Linked DNA regions of Canis lupus familiaris. The main gene of each other region encodes a partner of the protein of the gene in region 7 in a complex. Links are inferred from orthologs where the notes say so. Each region holds a gene or a part of one and is shown on either strand. Other genes may lie near its edges.

The links.
Region 1: CEP290 (region 7) and TMEM237 share a complex: the UniProt entries of both Homo sapiens proteins name them as parts of the tectonic-like complex. The link is inferred for Canis lupus familiaris from reciprocal best matches to the Homo sapiens genes CEP290 and TMEM237.
Region 2: CEP290 (region 7) and TMEM67 share a complex: the UniProt entries of both Homo sapiens proteins name them as parts of the tectonic-like complex. The link is inferred for Canis lupus familiaris from reciprocal best matches to the Homo sapiens genes CEP290 and TMEM67.
Region 3: CEP290 (region 7) and B9D1 share a complex: the UniProt entries of both Homo sapiens proteins name them as parts of the tectonic-like complex. The link is inferred for Canis lupus familiaris from reciprocal best matches to the Homo sapiens genes CEP290 and B9D1.
Region 4: CEP290 (region 7) and AHI1 share a complex: the UniProt entries of both Homo sapiens proteins name them as parts of the tectonic-like complex. The link is inferred for Canis lupus familiaris from reciprocal best matches to the Homo sapiens genes CEP290 and AHI1.
Region 5: CEP290 (region 7) and TMEM231 share a complex: the UniProt entries of both Homo sapiens proteins name them as parts of the tectonic-like complex. The link is inferred for Canis lupus familiaris from reciprocal best matches to the Homo sapiens genes CEP290 and TMEM231.
Region 6: CEP290 (region 7) and TCTN1 share a complex: the UniProt entries of both Homo sapiens proteins name them as parts of the tectonic-like complex. The link is inferred for Canis lupus familiaris from reciprocal best matches to the Homo sapiens genes CEP290 and TCTN1.

The regions. Positions count from the first base shown.
Region 1 is NC_049258.1:10,565,182-10,569,183, reverse strand, and holds the start of TMEM237 (transmembrane protein 237), read left to right. Parts: upstream 1-1,202; 5' UTR 1,203-1,335; coding exon 1,336-1,374; intron 1,375-2,144; exon of another isoform or gene 2,145-2,226; coding exon of another isoform or gene 2,227-2,244; intron 2,245-3,843; coding exon 3,844-3,875; intron 3,876-4,002. UniProt on the Homo sapiens protein: Component of the transition zone in primary cilia. Required for ciliogenesis.
Region 2 is NC_049250.1:39,308,564-39,312,499, reverse strand, and holds the start of TMEM67 (meckelin), read right to left. Parts: upstream 2,801-3,936; 5' UTR 2,798-2,800; coding exon 2,587-2,797; intron 817-2,586; coding exon 728-816; intron 1-727. UniProt on the Homo sapiens protein: Required for ciliary structure and function. Part of the tectonic-like complex which is required for tissue-specific ciliogenesis and may regulate ciliary membrane composition.
Region 3 is NC_049226.1:41,067,449-41,071,723, reverse strand, and holds the start of B9D1 (B9 domain-containing protein 1), read right to left. Parts: upstream 2,801-4,275; 5' UTR 2,669-2,800; coding exon 2,606-2,668; intron 935-2,605; coding exon 866-934; intron 1-865. UniProt on the Homo sapiens protein: Component of the tectonic-like complex, a complex localized at the transition zone of primary cilia and acting as a barrier that prevents diffusion of transmembrane proteins between the cilia and plasma membranes.
Region 4 is NC_049222.1:28,401,027-28,404,526, forward strand, and holds part of AHI1 (jouberin), read right to left. Parts: intron 3,165-3,500; coding exon 2,945-3,164; intron 2,022-2,944; coding exon 1,829-2,021; intron 1-1,828. UniProt on the Homo sapiens protein: Involved in vesicle trafficking and required for ciliogenesis, formation of primary non-motile cilium, and recruitment of RAB8A to the basal body of primary cilium.
Region 5 is NC_049226.1:75,839,675-75,843,377, reverse strand, and holds the end of TMEM231 (transmembrane protein 231), read right to left. Parts: intron 2,831-3,703; coding exon 2,725-2,830; intron 2,367-2,724; coding exon 2,186-2,366; 3' UTR 501-2,185; downstream 1-500. UniProt on the Homo sapiens protein: Transmembrane component of the tectonic-like complex, a complex localized at the transition zone of primary cilia and acting as a barrier that prevents diffusion of transmembrane proteins between the cilia and plasma membranes.
Region 6 is NC_049247.1:8,665,633-8,669,132, reverse strand, and holds part of TCTN1 (tectonic-1), read right to left. Parts: intron 2,362-3,500; coding exon 2,236-2,361; intron 1,769-2,235; coding exon 1,625-1,768; 3' UTR 1,624-1,624; intron 810-1,623; exon of another isoform or gene 413-809; coding exon of another isoform or gene 347-412; intron 1-346. UniProt on the Homo sapiens protein: Component of the tectonic-like complex, a complex localized at the transition zone of primary cilia and acting as a barrier that prevents diffusion of transmembrane proteins between the cilia and plasma membranes.
Region 7 is NC_049236.1:29,573,394-29,576,893, forward strand, and holds part of CEP290 (centrosomal protein of 290 kDa), read right to left. Parts: intron 1,313-3,500; coding exon 1,169-1,312; intron 1,050-1,168; exon of another isoform or gene 985-1,049; intron 1-984. UniProt on the Homo sapiens protein: Involved in early and late steps in cilia formation. Its association with CCP110 is required for inhibition of primary cilia formation by CCP110.

The DNA.
Region 1 (4,002 bases), on a different chromosome or scaffold from region 7:
TATGTACATCAAAGTATTTGTAGCTCTTTTTAACTTAGTGATTATCTTCAAAACAAAAAAACAAAAAAACAAAAAAGAAAAAAATTAAACCCAACCTCCCTCCCCCCCCCCCAAAAAATCCCACCAAAGAAAATTAAGTCATTTTTAATGGTACATGAACTTGGATTTGATCTTATGTTGTGTTTTTTCTTTTTGAGAAAAAAAATTCCCCAAACTTGCTGTACAGAGATGGAGGATAAGCAAGTGGCAAACATTTTGAGAACTGCCTGTATCACTACACAGACAGACAGACACACACACACAACTAGAAGAAATCTGATATTTGTCTGGGCCCGGAGGTGGGGGTGGGGGTGGGGGTGGGGGCGGGGCATCTCTGCGCCCTACAAGGGCGGTGCACGGGATGCGCCTCTGCACCCCGTCCCCTCTATTCATGCCCAAAGCGGGGTTTACACAATTTTAACGGGTGTAGGATTCCAAACTGAATGACAGTTAACTTGGCTTCCCATACGCCACACAAGAAACCAAAGTCACGCAATAAACAAGATACAAGAGTAAGAAGTTAAAGAACCAAATACCCAGTCGGTAAGTGCCTGGTAGGGGTCCGCTCTGGGTGCCTACTACGTCCCTGCAGTACAGGGGTCTCTAGTTTGTTCAGAGATCCGTCGGAAGAAGCCGTGTCTGGAGAATCTGACAGCGTTCCACAGAAGTCCCCCCCCCCCTTTTTTAAATATTTTATTTATTTGTTCATGAGAGACACAGAGAGAGAGAGAGAGAGGCAGAGACACAGGCAGAGGGAGAAGCAGGCTCCTCGCAGGGAGCCCGATGCGGGACTCGATCCCGCATCCCCAGGATCACGCCCTGGGCTGAAGGCGGCGCTAAACCGCTGAGCCACCCAGGAATCCCCAAAGTCCTCCTTTTCAAAGGAGTTTTAATCCGTCTTTGGCCCTTCCAGACCTCTCCTGGTTCAGCGACTAGAAGTTCCCGGCTCCTCCGGGCAGCCTTGGCCTTGCCAATCGTCGGTTCCTGGTACCCAGAGCCTGTTCTGACCTCCGCGGGGTCCTTCTCGCGCACCGCCCTCGGGCCCCTCCGGGTTCCCCGCGCCCCGCCCGCTCCGGGTCCAGCCCCGCCCCCTCCGGGTCCAGCCCCGCCCCCCTGACGCGAACGCGCTGCGGGGCGGGGCTTGGCGCCCCGCAGGCAGGCGGAGGTCCGGCCCAGGAGCTGCGGCCCAGCGAGACCCTGGGGAGCCCCCCTCTCGCAGGCCCCGGAGGCCGGGTCGCGGGGAGCCAGGCGCGGGCCGCCGGCGGTTGCGCCGAGGGAGCCCCGAGGGGGAGCGCCATGAGGGCGGACTCGGGGCTTCGGCCGGAGGCCCACCCGGTGAGCGGTGAGGGGCGCTGCGGCCACGGGGCGTGGCGGAGGCGGGGGGTGCAGCCCGATCGCCTCCGCGGCTCCTGGGGCGGGGCCGCCGCCTAGGGCTGGGGCCGCCGAGGGCCGCCGAGGGCCGCCGAGAGCCCCGCTCGCCGTGCACGCGCGTCCGCCCCTCGGATGCTCACAGGATTGGACCGGAGCGGGCGATGCAAGTTCGTCCCGAGGCCGGGAGCCGAACCCCGGGAGCCAGGCGAGGACCCGGGCGTGCCGATGCCCGGGCCTGAGTGGCCACGTTGCTGTGACGACGCCTCTCTGCTTAGCCTTCCGGGCCCCTGGGTGCCCCGGGGCTGCCAGCTAGGCCTCTCCTGCGGACTCCTCCCGGAGGGCCTCTAGCCACCCAGGGAGGAGACCGCAGTTTCCTGGCGGAGACCATTGATCATGGTCTTTCCCCACCGCCCTCGAACAAATCCCTGCAACCACTCGGAAACCATGAGCAGAACCGTGGTTGTTGCCCCACGCCCGCTGGAGTCTCTCTTCCCGGGCATGTCAGCCCCCCACGCCCACGGCCCCCTTTCCGCAGGGCTGCACTGCAAAGGCCCGACCGGCCCCCGCCCCCCCCCCCCGCCGCGTCCTGCAGGGAACCGGCTGAGTGTCCGCCAGGCCCGGGCGGCGCAGGCCGATGACGCACGGCGCCTGCGCGCGGCGGCCCGGGCGGGAGCCAGCCGGGGACAATAGCGAGCCGGCCGGGGGGCGGGGCGGGGCGGGGCGGGAGCCGGCCGGGGGGCGGGGCGGGAGCGGACTGCGAGCTCCCGGCTGCGAGCTCCCGGCGCGCGGCCGCGGGGAAGCCCGGCGTTGGACGCCATGGGAAAGAAGCAGGTGGTAAGCCAGCCTCGGTTCCGTTTGAGTCTCTGGGATTTTGTGTCCGGTGGAGCCCTCCGACTCTTGAGGAGCCGGAAGGTCGGCGGTGACACGTCATTTTCGCGGGAGTTTTGAAAACGTGCAAGCGTCGTGTGACCCGAAGCCTTGGGCAGGACGCGATCCGTAGCCGCCTGACGGTGGCTCTTTCCTGGACTATTGCTCTTTCCCGGTGGTGAGGTTCATCACTGGATAGTGTTGAGACAGCCTGCTGTGTCCTGATCTCGTAGCATTTGTATTAATACGCTGACCGCATGGATCGCTAAATGGGACGGTCGTAGAACCAACGAAAAAGAAAAAGTGTCTAAAAATGTAAACCCTTTTGAATCAGTGTCCCCTGCAAGCAGCATGAGACACTTGCAACATTAAACTGATTTCGAGACATTGCTGATAGTATTTTATTTTGAAAGATTCCAGAATGCGTCTCAACTGTAATCTCTCTGAATGGCAAACACAACTTTTCTTACCATTTGTTAAGTTTTTTGTTTTTTTTTTAATTTATTTTTTAGGGACGCCCGGGTGGCTCAGCGGTTTAGCGCCGCCTTCAGCCCAGGGCGTGACCCTGGAGACCGGGGATCGAGTCCCACGTCGGGCTCCCTGCGTGGAGCCTGCTTCTCCCTCTGCCTGTGTCTCTGCCTCTCTCTGTGTCTCACAAATAAATAAATAAAATTTTTAAAAATGAATTTATTTTTATAAGGTTTTTTTTTTTTTAATTCTCTCTGCCCCAAAATGCAGTCTCATACTGTATTCAGAGTGATTTTATCTTATTTTTTTTTTAAGTATGTTGCTATGTGGTTTAAAACCTCCCTTGGCTTCCCACTGAATTAAAATAAAACCTGGACACCTTTTTGTCTTTTTTTTTTTTAAGATTTTATTTATTCATGAGACACACAGAGAGGCAGAGACACAAGCAAAGGGAGAAGTAGGTTCCATGCAGGGGGCCCGAGGTGGGACTGGATCCCAGGCCTTCAGGATCAGGCCCTGGACTGAAGGCGGTGCTAAACCCCTGAGCCACCCGGACTGCCCCCTTTTTGTCTAAAAAGAGCCTAATTAATTAATCTGGCCCCTGCCTGTCTTGATAACTATGCTACAGCCCTACCCGGCTTGCTTCTTTTATCTGAAACCGTTTCTCCTAAAAGGCTTTGTATTTGCTCCCCTTTATCTCTTTTCTTCTTTCTTGTTCAGGTCTCAGCTCGGAAGTCTGAGAGACTTTCTGTAACTAAAATAGCACTCCACATTCTCCCTCATTTGTGTGTGTGTGATCTTCTAATACTTAACCACTAGAATGGAAGTTCCATAAAAGCAGGGATTTCTGTTTTGTTCTTTAGTGCATCTGTAGTACTTAGAACAGAGCCTGGCCTCTGGATAGAAAGGAGTATAGGAAGGAAGGAATTTTATATGAAATTTAGAAATGTTAGAACAATTTTAGAATTGCCCATCTGATTCTCAAGAGTACTTCCTCTGTTGCATTTGATAAACAAGGTTATCAAAAGATTTGAAGTACATGAAATGAAGATGTTCTGAGACTTTTACTTACAAGCGATTTTCTTTTTCTCCCCATAGCGTCCTCCACGAGCCCTTCCACCTGTGCCAAGGTAAACATAAGTTAGAGATTGTATCATTGAGTTTTAAAAATGCAAAATGAATAAAGTGAAAAAGTCAACTAGTTCCATTGCAAAATTATAATAATTCAGAGATGATCTCTTGAAAATTTTAGGAAAA
Region 2 (3,936 bases), on a different chromosome or scaffold from region 7:
TCATTATATATAGTACTAATTTACTAATTTTCAAAAAGTTATATGACTAACAGAGCAGCAACAGATACTATTTAACCTATTTAATGATACAATTGGCAACTCATGAACTGATCACACCTTATGTATCATTATGAACATATATTGTTATAAAACTATTGACACAGTAGTTCCAAGACACATAACTCAATCTGTACTAGTCTAAAAATACACATATCCCAACTTGCTCTTTGTATCATTTATCTATTTTTTTAAGACAGAGCTACTCTGTGAGAAAATATAAAGAACATAAAGACACATTTTCACAGCTTTGTGGCTTTTTAAATTTCAGATTTTAAAAACTCAGGCAATACATTTGTTTATTCCAAGCTTGTATAAAATTTCACTGATCTCCTAAAATTTATTCTAGTTAAAACAAAGTTAATTTAGTAATTTTAGAATTTGAGAACATATTAGAGTACAGCATTAAAACATAGTTTAAAAAATAAAGATATTCAAGTGGCGCCTCGGTGGCTCAGTCAGTTAAGCCACTGGCTCTTGATTTCAGCTCAGGTCAAGACCTCAGGGTCCTGGGACTGGGCCCAGTGCTCAGCAGGGAGTCTGCTCAAGGATTCTCTCTCCCTCTGCACATTCCCCCACTCTCTAAAATAAACAAATACAAATTTTAAAATAAAGACATTCAATCTACTACGTTTTACAGTAAAATTATTTCAAAATAAATACTTGATACCATGTTTTCTGGGCACTTTTTACAAATAATATCAGGTCCTCCATTATTAGAGATCATCTGAAATCCCGGCAGACACACACATGAAGTTCCTAAAAAGAAAAGAGCCAATTTTGACCTTGGTAAATAAAAATAAAACTCCAAGATGGGGAAATTTTCAATATTCTCAAGATCCTGGAAACCAGGGCAGCTGTTAGGAGCACATCTGGAAACGTACTATGTGGGCTCTAATCTTAACTCTGCTACTTAGCTGTGTGACCTTGAGCAAGTTACTGAACTCTGTGCCTAGGTTTCCATTTCACCAAAATGGGGACGATAACAGTACTTACCTCGTAGGGTTGGTATGAGTAGTAAATGAGTTATTATATGGAAAGGTCTTAGACTATGTATGGCACACAGTAGGTATTGTGCTTGCTACTTAAGTGCAAGCATCACTGAACTACTGGAGTACTGGACTTTAATTTTAATAATCAGAGTTTTCGTTAACCGTTATGGGAAACTGTACGGTTCTATTTCATCTGACCACATACATATATTCGATGATTTCCAAGTTACTTTGCCAAAACAAAACTTTATGAACTAAGTTATCTTGATTCAAATAAATTATTGTTTTCCTCTGGATAGATGGTAGACTAAGATGATCACTGTTCAACCTGCTGGATGGGTGAGGACCACAGTCCCTAAGGAGACATCAGGTGGAAACAGCACCCACCGAAATCTATGCAGCAGATGCATACGCTATCTGGGTTCCTAAGTATGAAGCCAACACCCTACACTTTAGGAGCCTGTGCAACGCTTTCTCGTTCGTATTTCCTCACCTGGGGAGCCTGACATCATGACTTACAGGAGGATATATCAGATTTGGAGATGGCAGAGGGTTGACATCGTGGGTGACCAAATCGAGATTGAAGACATCCTGGACCTCAGAATACGGTCTATTCTACTCTATGCCAATTCTGTTCCTTAGTAATATGGGAAAAGTCTTGTTCTGTGCAGCTTCTCCCCCTCTCTAGGGGGAGAACTAGGACCAAATGACACATGTTTCAAGAAAAAGAAATAAGCTTACTCTCAAGAGACTTCAAGAGCAATCAGTAATATTCAGTAACAAAAGGGACGACTCCTAAGGAAATCTACGTTAAGGACACACGATGTAGGGGAAATTACGCTGAGGGCAGAGAGACTCCGGTCCTCCCGAGCTGCGGTGTGGGCGACAGACAGGGTCATTACAACACCGGCTGGGCTTCAATTTCCTCGCCTGTAAAAGGAGAAGACTGGACCTCATCCTGGTTAGGGTCCTTCTAGCTCTAGGTTTGTGGCCTTTGAAATGCAAGATCAAAGCGCTAGCAAAGGGCCGCCTGGGTGTTGAGCATCTGCCTCGGGCTCAGGTCATGACCCCGTGGTCCCGGGTTCGAGTCCCGCATCGGGCCCCCTGCGTGGAGCCTGCTTCTCCCTCGGCCTGGGTCTCTGCCTCTCTCTCTGTGTGTCTCTCATGAATAACTGAGTAAAATCTTTAAAAAGCAAAATAAAAGCAATAACAGATTTTATTATTAATTATTATTGTATATGTTTTACTTGGAGTCCCGTTTGCAGACACGTAACCTCCCGCGCCCCTCCCTCCCCCGCCCCGCCCCCTCCCCGCCCCCCGCCGTCCCTCTCGCCCTGCAGGGCGCCTGCAGACCCGTCCGCCGGGAAGCAGGGGATCCGCGCCCGAGGCCTGGGCTCACCACCCCCCCGCCCCCGCACAAGCTGCGGTGCTCCGAGGACACCCCTCCCTCCCGCGCTGGCGGTTCCCTTTCCCCCAGACGTTTCTCCCCGAGGCCGGGGCGTCAGGGCCCCGCCTGGGCCCCGCCGGGCCGGCTCACCTCGGGCATCCCGCCGCTGGTTGGCCCCGCACGGGACACAGGACAGCGCGGAGATGTCGAAGCGCTGGCTGTGGCCGCACGACTCCGGCTGCACGAAGGGAAAGGAGAAGGTCTGGGCGTGCGGGGCCCGAGGGAGGACCGCCAGGAGGCACAAGCTCAGGACCCAGCGAGCCGCCATGGCCGCCCCGACCCCTCCGCTGCCCGTTGCCATGGTGCGGACGCCGGCGTCTGCGCACGCCCCGGCGCCCCATCGGCCCCCGCGGCGAGTCTGCAGAGCTGATTGGACAGCTCCGTCGGGCTTCCGGAAGTGCCTGCGGCCGCTGCCCCGTTGCCAGGGGAACCGCGCCGCCGCGGGAGGCGGGCTGGACCCGGAGGCCGGGCGGGCGATGGGAGGCGTGTTGCCCGCCCTGGGCCGCCACCTGTTCCCGGGACGCGACACCGGTTCCGGGGGTCGGTGAACGGGACCCCGCGGCAGTCTCTAATGGTATCACGCAGATTGAGAGGAAGTATTTTTTTCGTGGAGCTGTTGAATGACGTTTACACCAGAATTTATTCAGACCGGGCGATTTCGCGTTAAAGGAGACATTGCAGCAGTGCATGTGTCCTGAGAAGTGTGTCCGTTAAAAAAATAAAAATAAAGTTAAATAAAAAACAAATAAATTTTAAAAATAAAAATTAAGTTTAAAAAAACTTTTAAATTTTTTTTTAAAAATCAAAAATTTTAAAAATAAATAATTTTTAAAAGGTAGAAAAACAAAAAATAGAAATAAAAGGGTAGAAAAACAAAACAAAAAACACCCCCGTTGATTTGAAATGGGCAATGCTGGAAGATTGGCTTGAGCATTTCAAAAAGGTCTTTTCCGGGCAGACGTTTCATTGTGTTTCCAGTTTCCTCGTTTTGGATAAAGGAAATCCTGTATATAAAATGAGATCATCTTTACCCCGTTCGTGAATAAAGAAGAAACCTAATTTTTAACCAAACGTACGCACACGTGAATGTTGCCTTTCAAAAGCAAGCACCCCGGGAGGCCCATAAAATGTTCACCAAAACATTTTAGAATTAGCTTTAGAGGCAGTTTACAGATCATAGAAAATTGCATTTTTTTTCTTATATCTAAATCTCACTTCCGTTTTTGTTGGACTGTGTTTGTTTTATCTTGTTCTCACATCCCCCCGCTCTCCCAGTACAATCATCCGGCATAATTTTTAGCCATCTTATTCATCAGTCGCAGCTTGGAACAACTTTGGGCTTTCTCAAAAAACTCTTTTTTATTTTGTAATAAAAATGAGGATCTGACACTATTAAAGAAAATACACATACACACAATTCTTAATGCATGTGGAAAATGC
Region 3 (4,275 bases), on a different chromosome or scaffold from region 7:
GGCCTGTCCCATCCTCAACCCCCCTGCTCCATCTCCAGCCACTCTCATCCCTGCTCATGCTCTTCACTGGCTACACAGGCCTCCTCCCTGTGCCTTGGGCATGCTGGGCACGCCAGGCACGTTCCCACCTCAGGGCCTGTGCACCTCTGCCCTTTCTTGTTGTTGTTGTTGTTGTTGTTTTTTACCTCTGCCCTTTCTGCCTGCACAGTTCTCCCTACGGACCTCCGTGTGGCTTGTTCCCTTCCTGCCTTCACCCTTTACCCAAAGTTACCATCTCAGGGAGGCCTTCCCTGGCCACCTTACCTAGACTCCAGCTTCTCTCTACCCTCCATTCCTCCCTTCCTGACTTTACTCTGTCCCCGGCACTTTTTCCTAGAACATATTAGAACATCAGTACTTATTGTCTACCTCGCCCCACGAAACTGGGACTCTGGCCTGGCTGTCTGTGGAGACAGATTGCTCTGAGGCCGGTCTTGCAAGCAGAGCTTCTATTCGGCCTCTTGACTTCCCAGAGTCCTCCTCATGGGCTAGGAGAGGGACAGAGGACCTACCGCCCAGATACTTCCAGGCTGGCCCTCAGGGGTCTGTGCCGCCCACACGTTCCTCTTTGCTGCCAAGTGCAAGTTCCCAGGACAGGGTGTGTGAGCGACCGCAGCTTTGATCAGGAGCCTGAAGGTGGCTGCTCCACCTTCTCTGCTCCAGCTTTACCAGGAACAAAGTCATGTTTGGAACCCCCTGAGCTCGGTGTCTACCTCTCAACAGTTTCTGAACTGGAAGACGAAGGGGTATGGTGGACATCGACACCTTCAGAAACCCCATTAAGCATGGAGGCTGTGAGGGAGGGAGGCCCAAGAGCCCAGCTTACCGCCGTGGGGGCCCAGTCCTGGCCGTACACAAAGCAGTACTTGCAGTAGAGATCATCATACTCAGGAAACTGTAGGAAGAAGCACACACAGGTTCTGTTTACAGGGATTGTGGAGGGGGAGGCACCGCGGTGGCTAGCTAAGGGCAGCCAATAGGGATGCTGACACTGGGTGCCTGGGGTAGAGTCTAAGAGACAGCCGGGGATGGGGACACGGAGTTCAGTGGAAGGGTTGGGGCCTGAGATGTGGGAGTCCAAGGGACAGTCCCAGGCTGCAACCACCCTTGAGCCTTTGCCCAGGCTCCACCTTGTCTGACATGCCCTTCCCATTCCTTTTTTTTTTTTTTTTTTAAGATTTTACTTATTTATTCATGACAGACACAGAGAGAGAGAGAGGCAAAGACACAGGCAGAGGGAGAGGCAGGCTCCATGCAGGGAGCCCAACGTGGGACTCAATCCCAGGTCTCCAGGATCATGCCCTGGGCCGAAGGCAGCGCTAAACCGCTGAGCCACCGGGGCTGCCCTGCCCGTCCCATTCCTCCATCTGGCAAACTCCCTTTCATCCTTCAAAACGTTCTAAGGTCCACCCCACCCCCAGCTCTGTCAGGCCCTGGTCCTTCCCTCCACCAAAGCTTTGATACCTCCTTTATTTCTGTCAACCCTGTTTGACTGTGAAGAGGGAACAAGTGCAATGACCTTTCTGTGTCCCCCAGAGCCTGGCACAAGGGGGCACAGAAGAGATCTAGGGAACATTGCCGAAGTGAAAGGATGCTATCAGGACATGAAGTATACACAGGGCTGGAGCTCAAGGCCTGGAGAGAGGGAGGAACCCAGAACTGAGCAGGAGGCACAGTGGGAGTGGCATGGGTGCTGACAGAGCAGAGAGGCATGATCCAGCCCAGCCAAGGGCCCCTAATGGGACAGAACAGAAGAAGGGAAGGCAGTCTTGGACGCTAGGCCAGGGGCAGGTGGACAGGGTGGGAACACGGGAGCATTATCCCGATGAAACAGGGAGGCAAGAGAGACCTAGTAAGAGGTCCTGGCAGAGCTCTGCCCAAACCATCTCACTTAATCCCCACAATACAATAAATACCATCTTCCAACAGCCTGGAAGGGTAACGAACCAAAGTTTTGGTGTCAGGCAACCTGGGTTCAAATTTCAGCTTTGCCACTCCCTTTGGGCAAGTGTCCCCATCTGTAGAATGGGGATGCTAGTAACACCCACTTCCCAGGGTTGTGGTGAGGGCCGAATGCGCAGTGCTGGGCACCGAGTCCGGCACGTGGCGAATTCGTGGTGCACTTATATGCATGTGAATACGACAAATGGGTCTCCCCAAGTGTAGGCGATGGGGAGCAGCGTCCGCGTCGGTCAGACCCGACAGACCCTCCCCGGACCTCTCCACCACCCCCGTCGTTGGCGCACATTCACCAGGTCGCCTCCATCCTAACCCAAATGCAAGGACCTCAGGGTTCAGAGTGCAGAGCGCTGGGGGGCCGGGGCCCAGCAACCCGGGCGAGTCTCCGCTCCTCCCCTTACACCCGCTAGGCTCCTGCCCGGGACTCCACGGAGCGGACACGAGCAGAACCAGGGCTCACAGGCCTGGTCTCTCAGACGCTGGTTCCCGTCCCCCGCCTGACCCGACAGACGCGCCTCTCCGGGGCCACGCAGCAGCCCGGGAGGTGGCGGGACGGGCCCCCGCGGGTGGCTGGGGGGAGGGCGGGCGGGGGTCCCCGGCCGCTCACCTGGGCGCTCTCCACCTGCCCGTTGACCATGAGTAGGAAGACGCTGGGGCCCGCGGCCGCCATGGCAGGGCTGGGGGCGCAGGAAACGACCCCCGCGGCGCGCGGGGCTGCTAAGAGGTGCCGGGTTGCCCTGGAAACCGACGGCGTGGCGCGTGGGACACATTTCGTGGGAAGGCACCTTCGCGAAAGAAAGCACGGGTGCGGCAGTGCGCAAGCGCAGCCGGCGGTTGGGGGCGGGGCGGGGCGGGGGGCGGAGCTGGAACGGTCCGCCCGCGGTGTAGAAGCTAGCCGCGCCGCTGCTCGGGTCACACCCGCAGGGCGGAGGCGCGCCCTGCCTCCCGCCGGCCGGAAGCCAAGTGGGGCCGATGCCCTCCGCCGCGAGGTGGCGCTGTGGCGCTACCGGGGGGACGGCGGCGGGGACGCGCGGAGGGGAGCCTGCGCGGTGCAGCTGGATCGCCGCCGCGAGTGGAGGTGACGCGCGCGAAGGCCGCGAGTCGGGCCGGGGCTGGGCCGCCCGGGTTCTGCGGAGTCCCCGGTTGGGGACTGCGGCGGGTCCCCTGGGGCTTTGAGGCCCCTGCCCCCCACCAAAAGTGTATTAAACAAACTGGGGAGGGCCTCAAACAACCGAGTTACGGCTCCTCGGTGTGAAAGGGGGAAACGGAGGCCCACGGAGGAGCAGCACCTGGCATCCCAGTCTTCCAGCCGTCGGAGGAAGACTGAGCCAGAACCCACGGCACTGCCCGGTTAACCCCCTGGCCGCCCCGAGTGGTCATAGCTTCGGTTAACACATCGATCCGGTTCGTCTTAGCACACACTGTGGTTTGTATTTGCACGTTGATCACTATCCTGACTCCCCTCTCTAGGCAGCCCGCTGTTCCATGAGCCCAGCGGCCACGCGGATCTTGAGTTCTAGTTCCCTGGCACATAGAAGCCCTGGTAACAGTGCTGCATGAATGAATACTTGAATACATGGCCACTACTCAGAGAGGAAGCAGATTCCCAGGGGAGGTGGCTGGGCCACAGTCACAGCAGCAGGTAAGTCGCCGAATCAGCATTCACATCCAGGACTAAACAGGCTAAAGAGCCTCACTGCCTCCTCTGTCTGGTCCCAGGCCAGGTTGTCAAAGTGGCATTAGAGACCTTATCTCTGATCCAGGAAGGGATGCACAGGTGTGTAGACTTCCAGGAGGCCATGCCCCCAGCAGGGACCCCAGGGGGTGGTCCCACCGTAGCCAGCTGCTAGCTTGGAAGCAGACCAGGGGGGCTCCCTTCAGACACCTGTGCAGGAGAGGGAGGGAAGAGTCAAGGCCAGCCTGGACCACTGACCTCTTCCGGAATGCTGAGCAAGGATAACTGATTAGGGGAGGGGGCTGTGGGTAGTCTGATGGGAGATGCTGCGGCTGAGGAGGCCAGATGGGTGGGGTCCCCACCGCAACAACACAGCTCAGAGTGTAGGTCTGCTCTCCAGGGACTTGGTCATACTCCCTTCCCCCACTCCTCACACCCTCTTTCCACTTAAAATGCTTTCTCCCACAAATTCTACCTGTCTTTACTCCTTGTCACTTTTGAAGCTCAGTATTATACAAAAGTCACTTTTCAGCAGAATGCTTGTGGTTATCAAGTAACCAGGGGCTCCTAGTGGTTTAAAACCCAGCTATGTCAGGGGCGCC
Region 4 (3,500 bases), on a different chromosome or scaffold from region 7:
TTCATGTAAATTTTCCCTTAGTAAAAATACTTAGAAGTGGAATAATGATTTTAAAGACTTCTTATAGATATCAAGTTGTCCTCAATAAATCCTTAAAAGCTGAAATCAAAAGTAGTTGTGTAGACAATAGATTATATTAAAACTTAAGAAGCAACTGCCACTCTGGAAAACAGTATTAGAAGTTCTAAAAATAGAACTATCCTATGACCCAGCAACTGCACTACTAGGTACTTATCTAAAGGCTACAAAAACAGATTCAAAGGGGCACATGCACCCCAATGTTTATAGCAGCACTATTAATAATAGCCAAATTATGGAAAGAGCCCAATGTCCACTGACTGATGAATGGATAAAGAAGATATGGTATGTGTGTATAAACACACACACACAAACAAGTACAATGGAATATTACTGAGCCATCAAAAAGAATGGAATCTTGCCATGTGCAACATGAATGAACTACAATGTATTATGCTAAGTGAAATAAGTCAGAGAAAGACAAATACCATATGATTTCAGTCACATGTGGAATTTAAGAAACAAAACAGATGAACATAGGGGAAGGGAAGAAAAGATAAAATAAAAACAGAGGGAGGCAAATCAGAAAAGACTCTTAACTACAGGAAACAAACTGTGGGTTGCTGGAGGGGAGGAGGGTGGACTAAGCAAGGCGATGGATGTTAAGCAGGGCAATTGTTGGGGGCGAGCACTGGGTATGTTATATATAAGTGATGAATCACTAAATTATATTCCTAAAACTAAAAAAACAAAACTCCACCCCCCCCCCAAAAAAAAACCTTAAGAAGCAACAAAAAAATGTCATATTCCAACAATCTTTCTTAAATTTATGAATATTACTAAAATGAATGTGAACATTATAACCAAATTTCTCTGACAAAGAAAAAGTTCCTTGACAAACAAGTTACATCACTCTTTAAAAAATCACAGCTCTGTATAAATCATACAACATAATCACAGATGTAATGGTGGAATATTCGTATCACAAACATATACAGATCATCTGAAAGTTAAAAGAGCATAAAAACAAGTCATTCCACAAAATCAATCCTTGGCGTTAGTCATGCCCCTGCCTTTCCAATGCTAAAATTCCTCATCTTGCTTAAACTGAGGTTTTCTTCACTTCTCTTTGCTTAGGGAGAGATGTCACAAAGTAGAGAAATGTGTATTTTAGATTCAAACCACCTACAAATTACCTACACTTAAAATTGGAGTAACTTTGGGTAAGTAAATTTTATATTCTGAACCTTGATTTCCTTTGTCATAAAAACATTAGAATAACAACTCGGCTCAAAGGCCATCTATTTCATAAAATTTTCCCTGATTGCTCTGACCCTCCATTCACCCTCCCCTATCTAGGAAGCTCTACTTCATTTTGGTTATATATTACATTATGTTAGTCAAATGATCTGTGTATGTTTACCTTTATTTCTCTCAGTTGTATATAAACTCTAAGGGGGTCTGATACATAAATGAGTTTACATTTTGTAAAATGGGTTAAAAATGGAGGGTTGTATAGCTATAGATTAGATTCATCACTTAAGTTTACAGTCATGGCATTACTATCAGAATTAAATAATACAGAGTGAATTACACGGCTAATTACTCACAATGGTAAATACTCAGCAAATATGCTATTACCTGTATTTCTCAATTATATCTCCATAGCATATTACAAACACTAAATCCTAGAGATTAAGTCCTTCACACTATTTTGTTGCATTATTAAACTACTAAAAACAATAGTTTACATTTATGCTATTAAACTATTAACCAAAATCTAGTTTTAATTGGTCTATTCTATTCATACCTCAAAAAACAAGATGACTTTAGGGCTCTCATCAAAATCTCGAAGCAAATAGGGAAAGTTTTCATTAAATATAATTTGTTCTTCCCACTCTGGAAGTCTTGATTTTAACTGTTTAAAATCATATGGCTGGGTCATAATAGGAAGAATGTAATCCACACTCTCTTTTTCATAGTAAGATGAAACAGGCCGTCCACTGTCCAAAAAAAGATACTTTCATTAACACATTTCTTTATGATAATTTTGAGATGAGAAAAAAAATATAGTGTTCAAGGTGAAGAAATAATGAATAGTCATGATATATAATGAAAAATTATTTTCGTTGTCCACTGAGAAAATTACAAATTTTAAGATGTAGAAGTGGTAGCATCCTACTATCTTGTATTTATTTACTACTGATTGGTTTCACAGAATTATCTTATTATAGAAATTTAAAGTGAGAGTGCAGCATACAGAGCTAGACTCCTTCATTATCGTAAATGAGTTTGTAATAGTACAGTACACATTGAAAGAAAACGAGCATAATAGAATTGCAAACGCTTTCAACTGTGCCATATTTTTTGTATGCCCTAAGATAACTGAACAACTTAATTTTGATAATCTTCATGTTCCTCATCCCTGTAATTTTTCCAAGCAAATGACTTTTTCAGATTCTAGTATAATCATTTATTTTACTCTGCTTCCTATTTATAAGCTTCAAGCATGTATCAGCTATAGAAATAATATTAGAAAAAATTAAAGATTCACTGTCTTCATCTGAGGCCCAAATAACATTAACTTCAAAAGAAAGATATAAAGCTAGACAATTAAAGCATGTACAGTGCAAACACACAGTGATTTACACTGCAAGTTCAATGCCATAAATTAGTCATTAAGTTTGGCAGAAGCTCTCTCGAACCCCCTCTACTTCAAATGAATCACTAAATTAACAGATGTTCTCTATCTCTCCTATAAAACATACTGATCAGTATCAATGGTTGATGAACACCTATAACCAGTAAATTATTCTCTAACACAAATCCTTAGCTTTATTTCCATTGACTTTCAAGGGCAGAAAAGAGGACTTCTACTGTAGACAGTTTCAATTTCAAGGGTTGGCTGTGCAATTAAAAAAATTACCTATCATCTTTCTTGACATACTGACCAGTATTCTCATCAATCACATGAATTTTTACCATCGGGTGAGAAATCATAAAATCAGACTTAAGTCGATCAGTACGATGAATGTAAACTCCCAGGACAAGATCATCATCAAGCAAACATTTGGGATAAACTGGACTATCTCGGCTTGTTACTTCATGAACACCATCACCATCAGTGTCTTCATTATTATCAGAAACTAAGTGCATGGAAGAAAAAGAACACTGTAATTAACTGTTGCCACAACAATAAATTCAACAGTATATACTGAATTTACACACAATCTAATCTTAAAATCCATGACTATTTATCTTTAACAAAGCAACTTCAAAGGAAAAGAAAGCAAAAGCCAGACATTAGCAGACTGCACTCTAAGAATAAAATATCATTTATTAATGCACTGAAATAGGGTGACGAATCTTTTTTTTCCCTAACAAGGACCAAGAATACAAAAAAAGAAGACAATGAGAACCAAAAAACAAAAAAGTGATTTTTATCTAAGGATTTCCTGTGGAATATGCATCACTCAATTAAC
Region 5 (3,703 bases), on a different chromosome or scaffold from region 7:
ACCAAATTTTTAGATGATGGGACCTAAGCAGGGGCTCAGGAGCCTCACTTGAGTCACAGAAACTGGATAATCATTGTGCAAAATTAGAGATCTCCCCCATCCCAATCAACAAATATTAATTGTTTCAAACCTTGACTTAGCTCTGAGTTACAGCTCCTTTGGTAAAATCCTGTGTATTACTCACCTTTCTCCCTCTCGCAGGTACATTGTTTCATTCCGGTTCAGAAGCCACCAACATCTGATCTGTAAATAATTTGATATTCACCAGACACAGCTGTAATTTTCCAGCCTGTGTTTTCCACATGCTATGTGGATTCCACCAAAAACTCACAAGTACTTGGGGCCAGACCAGGGGACTTGCCAAAGAGCTAACAAAAGTTCCAAGGTCTTTGGGCAGAGACCTGGCAACATATAGCTGCCGGTGAGTAACGCGGAGAAGTGTGCGCAACCTCTGCCCTCCCCACCCCCTTTCCAAACTCTTGAAAAAGCCACAAGAAACCTTCCGTTTTGAGTATTTTAATTAGAAAGGTAGAAAAAATATCATGGTTCTTTATACAAATTTTGCATTAAAATAATTTAACAAAATGCAAAGCAGTGTTTATCATGTCTTTAGCTCTTTTCCATATCTCATTACCTTTTTGTGATTCAATCCAGAAACCCTTTTTTTCATTTCTACCTCAAGAAAAAAAAAATGCTTAGGTATATAAACAGCCCTAGATATTACAAGAAAAGGCAGAGGGGCCAGTGTTAAGCTATTTTTTGTGCTTGAATACTTCAAAACAGCTGTTTCCAAAACTTTTATTTTGGTCAGCCTGGAAGAAAAGGTGCTTTGGAAACAACTGAATCTCCAAGGTAAACTGCAGCATTCACCGAGGAGTATGTTAGCATGGATCAGAGCAGGCATGTCTCAGTGTCAATGATATCTCAGGATCATAAAGTAGATCCATTTATCCTTTGAGGACGGTTTGTTTCCTCAAGGCAAGAATGGAGAACTAGTCTTCACGCGCGACAGAGCCGCATTCAGTCGTCCCATCCTACAGACGCTCACTTAGGCAAGAGGGTGAACCTGCTGGACTACTTGACATTCTGCTAATGGCCAGGCCAGATTAAGTTGCCTGGGTGAGCATCCTCTTTATCCCCTTGCTGCACCTTGTGTGTCCGCCCCAAAGCCGCTCATTCTGATGGGCACCCTGTTCCTTCATCAAGGGAAATACAAGTGCTGGGTTTCCCGCTCGCTAGCCCTCCAAATAAACTCTGTGGTTGTTGGCAGTGGGAGCCAATACCAACAACAGCTCCTCTGTCACCCACGTCCTTTTCGAGAAAGGGGAGGGCTGTCAAGGAGGAGGAGTGGCAACTGTCCAGGCTGTTGGATGAGGGCCAGAGAAAGAAACTGCGGTTGCAATCCTTACTTCCCCCACTGTTGCCGAGGGGATTGTGAACGAAACAGCACTCTGGCTGAAGCCTGCTGTTCCAGGGGCACAGAAAGGGCGAAAGGCAGGGCAACAAGCCAGCCATGGCAGGGCAGGGATAAAGGGCCGCTCAGCTGAGCTAATAATGATAAGACGACTGTCTGTTAGCCGGAGGGCAGGTGGATGGTCCTAGTGTCCTGGAGTCACCCACCCATACACGTGTTCGTGTATGTGCTCTCGGGCGCTTCCATTCTCCCCTTCATGGCCTCTCGGTGCTGGAAACCAAAGTTTTGAGTGGGAAATTTTGATGCTCAGTAGTGGAAAGTGCTACTTACTGATTTGCACATCTCTCACAAGAGAGACCTGAAAAGAGTAAAAAGTGGTTTACAATAGTGGGAAGAAATGCATAGCATGTTTCTCAGTTCAAGAGAGGAAAAGTCTTTGCTCGACTAGAGATGGGATTCTTTCCAAGAGTTCTAAAATGACTGTAGTTGTCTCCTGAAATTGAAGCCTAAGGCAAGGAAAAAAAAAAAAAGAAGCAAATTATAGCTTTCAGGAACCCTCAGATGTTTCTACAAACTAGTCCCGGGTGAGGTGCTTACAAAATACGGAATTTGTATAGAGAAAAATGAGAAAGGATTGTGCTTTGTCTCTGATAGGAAAAGCATACACACTGGCACGTGTCCATGGGCTCTCTGCAAAAATTTCTTAAGATGGCAGTTCTCAGACAATAAGGAGGTAGCCAGGGTCCTGCTTAGTTCTCACAAGTGGTCTTCTTATGATAAGTGCTCCTTATATGTTTCTCCCTGGGGCATTACTGCGACAGGGATTGTGGTCACCACCTGATTCTGAAACACAAATCTTTTGATTCTTTCAAACACCCAGAGGAAGATAAGCAGGATACTGACATACTGGATCCAGGCAAACTTGATCATTTCCCAGAATCCTGGTAGATATGTACAGAGAGTTAAGGAGTCCCAGATGATATTTTCTAAGTGGAAGTTAAACCAAAGGTTTAGTTTAGACGGGAAATGGCAAAAATGTTTCAAATACCCTTAATATAAAAGGGATGATAAAAGAGGATTAAGATATAAATATGGATGATTTTGACCTGAAGAATTGCCCAGAGAGAAATATGAAGAGGAAATGAGTATTATTCCCCCTGTATGAACAGCAGATGGAGTCATTTGAGCGGGGCCACGATACCTTAGCAGTTTCCAATCAAAGGCTTCCCACATCTGTTGCTTTTGGGGATGACGGAGGAACCCTCCTTTTTGGAAACTGAGCTACTGTGGCTCTTTAACTGAAAGGATATGAAATTACTTCTACTGGGTATCGGATGACAGCATTAATGACAAATGGAGCTTCAGCAGCCCTTCCCACCAGCCAGATGGGGTGGGGGTCCAGCAGGATGGTGGTTACTGTAATATAAGCAGAAGTTAATCCATGAATGCTCTCTCAATAAAATAATCAGGGCTATAAAAGTACTTTTTTACCTCTCAGGCAAATTCCGAACGTTAGAACTTATTCCAAAGAAATGATTCAAAAGGAAAGAGAACTGAATATGCAAAGTTGCTCACAAATTTGTTAAAATACTTGTCAAAATATTTATATTAAAAGGCCCCTGGGTGGCTCAGTCAGTTGAGCATCTGACCCTTAATCTCAGCTCAGGTCTTGATCACAGGGTCATGAGTTCAGGCCCTGTGTACTGGGCTCCATGCTGGGTGTAGAACCTACTTAAAATTTTTTTGTTAAAAACAGAATGGTGAGGGTGCCTGGTGGCTCAGTCAATTAAGCATCAAGCATCAACTCTTGGTTTCGGCTCGGGTCATGATCTTAGGGTCATGGGATCAAACCCTGCATGGACTCTGTGCTCAGCCGGGAGTCCGCTTGAGGATTTCTGTTCCTCTCCCTCTGCCCCTCCACCCACACTCTCTCTCCCTCAAATAGATAAATCTTAAAACAAACAAACAAACTTGGAACCGTCTATATATTCTTCTACAATTGCTGAATGGCTAAGTAAAGGAATCCTATACTACCACTAAAAATAATACCAATTAAAACTTTGTAGCAGCGTGGGGAAATATTTATATTACGAAGTACAAAAAAAATTGGATCCTAAAATGTTTCTAAACTACGACAAGAGCTGTATAAAAATATCTGCTATGGGGCAGCCCTGGTGGCGCAGCGGTTTAGCGCCTGCCTTTGGCCCAGGGTGCGATCCTGGAGACCCTGGATCGAGTCCCGTGTCAGGCTCTCTGCATGGAGCCTGCTTCTCCCTCTGCCTGTGTCTC
Region 6 (3,500 bases), on a different chromosome or scaffold from region 7:
AGACATTTTTGGGAAAATGCCATCTGTTTGCCTTCAGCACAGAGCTTCACTCCGCCAGGCCTTTGCTCAGATATCACCCTTCGCTCAGTCTTCCTTGTCCTTTCAGATTCAGATTAGGCATCACCTCCTTCCCCAGAGCTATGCCAGGTGTCCCTCCTCTGGACATCCTGTCACTGCAGTCACCCACTGGGCCCCAGCTGACCGTAGCAGGCTCCACTGGCAGACTCCACCAGGAATGTAGCCTCCATTCAGCTTTGCATCCTTGGGGCCCATCAAATAATTGCCACATCCCTGGCAAGGTTCAGAAGGTAAAACTGAGTTATCTGTCTGCCTTTGTTAATAACAGGAACAAGAAATTGAAAGACTGAACAAGCTATTGAGACAGCATGGACTTCTTGGTGAAGTCAACTAGACATGTACCTGCTTCGTCCCAAAGACAAGACTGCCTCACAGGCTTGCACCTCTGATAAGAAAGACAGCTGCCCCTCCTGGGGACCGTCTGGGAGAGAGATCTGGTTTGATGCCTTTGCCTCACCCCCGACCCAGCTCAGATTCTGGGGGGTTGGGGTGGGGGGAGTCTAAGGGAAGGCTCACTCTTTCTTGGTGTGATCAAGAGCTTCCCGTCCCATTCTCACCCCATATCACAATGTATTACAAACTATATTTTCTCATTTTGAACACCTGACTCTTGCTTGAAAATGAACAACGAAGCTGGACAACTTTTAGTTGTATATAAAATTTAATCTCATCAAATGTACTTTCCCATTTCCCATGTATGAGGAACCAGTGCATCTTTTCATGTGAGCATTCTGAAAGACAAAAGAAAAAAGGAAGCTACCTTGGCTACCAGCCCATTCTAGAAAAGTCTTATCTTTTCAAACTGTTTTAACATTCCCCCAGGAGGTTGTTCACAGGTACCCAGCCCCCTCTCTGCAGCAACCAGCTTTCTAACTGGCTCTACCCTGTTCTGCCACCTGACAACATTTTCTCAATTACTGTACAATTAACGTATAAAAGAAACTTTTTCCCTCGAGCCCTCCTACTCTATTCTTTCCAGCATCAAAGGCTTGGAACTGCTCTGTGGCATCCCATACAGCCCATCAGATGGAGAGCTCCAGTGCCTGCCACAGAAACAGCAATTAGACCCAAGACTCCATGTAATGAAGACGACACTGGGGGGAGATCCTTTCACGAGACCGTGTACTCTACTCACATGAGTTTATATGCAGTATTTTGCTATTTTTGTATTTATCTCCACGGGACATGAACTACAACAAGTAGTTTAAAAATAACTCATGTTGAGGCGGATAAACTGGATAAAGCCTCAACACCTATGCTACTTCAGGGTCTGTCCTCTTCCCCATCCTCCCAAAGGCTCAATTTGGTTTCCGCACATGACCTATGTGCTAACAGTACTGGAAATCACCAAGACCAGGTGGCGCCACATTCTAAGGTCAACCAAGTAGAATAAAATTTCCAAAAGGAGGAGAGTGAATGGAGAGGGGAAGTGTGTGGTCTGAGGGCAACCCTGCAGATCTGTGGTAGAATCTCAGGATGGCTCCAAGGGAGCCGAGGCCCCTCGATTCTGGAGGTGCGGTGCTGTCTCCTTGATTAACAACTTACGTCAAACAAACGGAAAGAAGAAATTAAACGGCAGCCTGGCATTGATGGTTGGCCGAGCTCTGAAGCCTGCCTTCGCAGGTGCAGACGCATCCACAAAAGTAACCGCAGTGGAAATAAGAACCGTCCTCTCATTTCCTGAGTCGGTCTGTAATAAAGAGAGTGTTGTGAGTCCTGCTTCCAGTGTGTGCTCATGTGCACAGGGTCACAAGGTGGCATACCCTGTGCTCCCTTCCCTCCTGGGGCCACGGTCAGCCCATCTCCTAGGCGCATGCAGGGCTCCTCATACGCTCACTTGGATGAGAGGGTTTTTACCCAGGCTGTCCTACCCACCAATGTCAACCACAACTCCATTTTCAAAGAATTTTAAAGATCAGCTCCAAACAAAAATGCTACTGTGAATTCAACTGTTGTCAGTGGAATTTTTTTTTCCCTAAGAAAGTGCCAGATTATTTTAAGAATTCAGATTGTTTAAATTTCAGTAATCTAAAAAAATAAAAAATAAAAAAAAATAAATTTCAGTAATCTTTTTCACAAAATAAATTTCACTATCACGCTTGAGTTTTGTCTGGACTTCTGTCTTAACCCACACCTCGAAACCCCAGTTAGACCTACCTCAGGAAAGGGGGATGAAATGAGACTTGCAGTTACGTTTACAATTTTAGCCTGTGGGTTCAGTAAGGACCCGTATTTGGTCCACTTCACTTCTATAAACAAAGCCACTGGGAGCTGGCAAGAATCCTGCAAAACAGAATGTCATTAATCAATTTGAACATTACACAATTTCATGTCAAACTTAATCTGCACTTCAGAGCTTTAATTATAAAGTGTTTCACATATTACAAAATGTTCTGAACAAGAGAGTGAAGAGACTCTAGAAGTTCAGATAAAAACAGCTGAGAGCACATATTTTAAAGTACTCAATATTCCCAAAAATATTTTAACACTTAAAGCATTTTTCCATCCTCTCCTGTTTCTAGAAAGGTCAAGATTACTTGGAAGTTGTGGAGATCCCAACAACAAACCGCAGAACCTTGGGCCTTAACTGCCCAGCTTCATCCAACTCAGAGATTCTTGAGGGGAGAAGCTGGCATTGAGTGGGGAGGAGAGGATGGTGGTAGTCATAGAAATTAAACCTAATTGTGTATCACGTTAAGATGCACCTAGAGGAAATGTAAATATTTTCTTTTCATTTAATTTCATCAGTTGGCAATTAAGATGTTACACAGGGGTATCAGCCGAGGGTAAATTGTCAAAGATGCTAACTCTCCATGGGTGCTGCCTGCCTGCAGGCTGGAGACCTGGGAGCCAGCCTGAGGTCTCTGCCCCATGGAAGAGCAGGCGAGTGGGCCTTCTAACCCTTTCCCTGCCTTTACATCATGTTTGTTGGCAAATGTGACAACCACTGAAGCTGCATGATGGGTAGAAGGGATTCCATTGTAATCCTTTACTTTTGTGTTATGTTTGAAATTTTCTGACAATAACAAGTTTGTTTGTTTGTTTGTTTAATATGCTTCTTCGGGGCATGAAAAGCTAGCAAGCCTGCTAAATTTGGTGCCTGCCAAAAAGGCACTGGTGGAACTCCTTAGCTGGGAACTGCCTTTTAGGAAGTTTGCAGGCTGAAAAAGCCTTGTGAGTATCTGTTATTAGAAGAGGCAACACGCAGTGGTAGAAGCGAGCCTAGCACGTGCACTTGTGTCTGCTGCCACCTGAGTTTCCTGCAAGGTAGGTACCAAACCCTCTCTGGGCCCTCTGAGCTCCCTGCAGCAGCACAGACCCTGAAAATGCTAATGTCTGCACTGCCTCCCAGGCGGTTTTCCCTTCTTAGGGGCTAGTAACAATGTCTTAACCTGTTTCTGAGAAGCCAGAAACGATGTGGC
Region 7 (3,500 bases):
AAACTCAATAAGGGCAAAGAAGAAATTGCCAATAACTCATATTCCATCTCAAAGAATCTAACAACTGGAATGGTACATAGGCCATATATTCAAGTTTTCTGTATTTGTTTCTATGAATAGATAGTAGTCTAAGAATGGACAAGATAGTTCTGATTAACAGGATATGGATATGAATGACAAAAAGTTGATTAATATGGGCTAGATGGAAGAACAGTTCGGAAAATGACAGATATCCCCCTAACAAGCAAATCTATTTCTGTATATCATAGATTGAGTCCTTAATGATTATTAAGAAATTCATAGGTCTGCTTTGTTTTATTAAGTCAACTAAACAGACAATCCTCTAAGAACTTATTCCTAACCTTTAGGTGGCATCAATCCATACATTTTTCAGCACAAAAATGGTATGGATAGATCACTTTTACATGAATCTTTTAATTATGTAAGAAAATAAATATATCAAGAATAGGGAAGTTTTTCTTTACAAATCAATTTGTAACACCTTATAACCTTATAAAATAGCGACAACACTTTATAACCATTGTTGTTTACTTAAAATTTATTGCCTTCTACTTCTAAGAGAACAATGGACAAATATTATTAGGATGTAATGAAATATTGACCTAAAAGGACACAAAGGTGAAAGTTTCTGGGAATCAGGGATGGAATGTTACTATGCTTAGGCAGCAGATTCTATAAAAGTTTACTAACAGGTGAGGCAAAATAGGAAATTTGTTTTCTGACAGGATTTTCTAAATACACCTGCAAAAAATTTTTTCCTTAAACTAAATTTAAGAGAACACTGGATGAATTATTTTCTAAATAACAATATAATAATCCAAAAGGTAATAACTATATTTGTCTAAAAGACAAAATGTTGTGATTTAAAATACACATGGATTTAAAAATGCTGGCTTTAACAAACTTTTTAAGAACCTATATTTTTTTTACATATAGGTATTTATTGCACAATATGAAGTACTCCTAAAACCATGGAATTTGATTCAAAGATATAATGAAAACATGAACAGTAATACAAAACTTTAGAGGTAAGCATACATCTATTCTCACATAAAACACAGAAATTGATAGTTGCCATTATAAAAACATAATCAGGTGTTTTTAGGTAACTTAAACAGTTAAAATTCATTGAGGAAATATGCCTTACTTGCTCATTAACCTTCTTCTCTTTCTCCAACTCCTTTTCCATGTCCTCCAATTCTCTATCTTTTTGTTCCAATTGTTTTTCAAGTTGGCGAATTTCATCACGTAAAAACCGAGTGTCTCTTCCACCTGCAGACTGCTGTGCCAACTTAAATAAACCAAAAGTAGAAATCAATCCCATTAGAAGACTCAACAACAAATTGACTTTAAATTTGTTATATATAATCAGCACCAGATGTTTAAAATCATGTAAAATCCACCCAGACACTGACCTCTGCTGCTCTTAAACTACCCTTTCCCTTGTACCCTATTTAAACCAGGGCTGTCCAACAGGACTTTCTAGGATAATGGAAATGTTCTCTGAATGGTTGAGTAGCAGAGCCACTATCTACAAGTGGCTTTGTGAACTTCAAATGTGGCCACTGCAACTACGGAAATGAATTTCTAATTTCTATTGTAATGAATTTAAGTGTAAATAGCCACAAGTGATTAGTGCTACTGTACTGGATGGCTCAGACCAAGATCACCTTTAAAATCTTGGGCCAGATTAGGGCACCTGGCTGGTTCAGTAAGTAGAGCATTCAACTCTTGATCTCAGGGTCATGAGTTTGAGGCCCACGTTAGGGGGATAGAGTTTACTTAAAAAAAAAAAAAAAAAAAAAAACTCTTGTGGCAGATTAAATCCATTTCACTTCATATTCCTGTTATTTTCGGTCACAGTCCAAAACATATCCTTTGGCATCTACCTGTCTCACATTCATCTCTTTACCATACAGCTGTGTTATTCTTATATATTAAATAGCTTTTTCGGGATCCCTGGGTGGCACAGCGGTTTGGCGCCCACCTTTGGCCCAGGGCGCGATCCTGGAGACCTGGGATCGAATCCCAAGTCGGGCTCCCGGTGCATGGAGCCTGCTTCTCCCTCTGCCTGTGTCTCTGCCTCTCTCACTCTCTCTCTCTGTGTGACTATCATAAATAAATAAAAAAAAATTAAAAAAAATAAAAATAAAAAAAATAAATAGCTTTTTCTTACTCTTTTCCTCCTTCAGAACACTTTCTATTGTGCTCTCAAAAATCTTCTTTCAAGATACATTAATAAAATATTAATACATAAATACACTCTTGGCCCTTTTACTGAATCATGTTCTCCATCTCCCCTCCTTAGCTGCAATTTGGTTCCTTTAGTATACTAAATACTTTGGAACTCTTTGGAAGATGCTCATTCTTTCACATCCCATAGACCTCAGGGTCAAGAGAAGGTGTTGATTTACCTCAACTTGCAACTTTCAGGCTATCATTCTTCCACCATCTTATGAAAACTCTGGCTGCTATGAATTCCACATGATAACCAGCTATTCAATCCCTACCTATTCATGGTAGCAGCAAACTACTAACTTCCCAGTTGAGCCCCCTCAAAATTCGTTGGCAATTTTTGGCACATGGCTCATAGTGTTCCACCAAAAGACCCCATAAGCAGTTTTCATACCCATATAACTTTCATTCTAGTCTCTCTCTCTTCTTTTTTTTTCACATGCTTCTTGAATTCACTATAGCCTCCCACTCTCTTGCCCACACCAGAACCTTGTCCAGTGCAAACATTGTCTCATGATTCCTAGTATACCCACCCTCTGACTTCACAGGAGCCTCTAATTCCTTGACCCCTTTCTAACCTCTCATTCAAATCTTGATTTACCCATTCAGCTGAGATTTCATAATCATTATTTTAATCAACCACTTTCTTACCAATATCTCCCACTGTCCTATCCTTCCATTCTACTGTAGCTGTCTAAACACTAACAGAATCAATCTGATTTCATAATTCATTTAGTAAGTATTTATTGAGAATGACTGATATTTTTCTAGAATATAGATATATTATAGGGAACAAAAATAACTCATCCCACTTCACAGTTAGTAAATAAAAGAATCAGGATTTGAACTCAAACTGTCTGACTCCAGATCCCCTAATCTCCAGCTCATTCTCCACTGAGTACTTGAAATATTCCACAAGTATTTCAAGCTTAATTTTCCTTAAAATTTGATCACACATCTTCCACTCTTATTTTTAGTAAATGGGCCTTCACTCCAACCTCTCAACTTCTAGGTACTAAACCTATAAACATAAAAGCTTCTGCACACATCCATTCTTCCCATTACAAAGGAAGGTCGGGATCCCAGAGTGGCTCAGCGGTTTAGTGCCTGCCTTTGGCCTGGGGGCGTGTTCCTGGAGTCCTGGGATGAGTCCCACTTCCGGCTCCCCACAGGGCACCTGCTTCTCCCTCTGCCTGTGTCTCTGCCTCTCTGTGTCTCCCATGAATAAATAAATAAAATCTTAA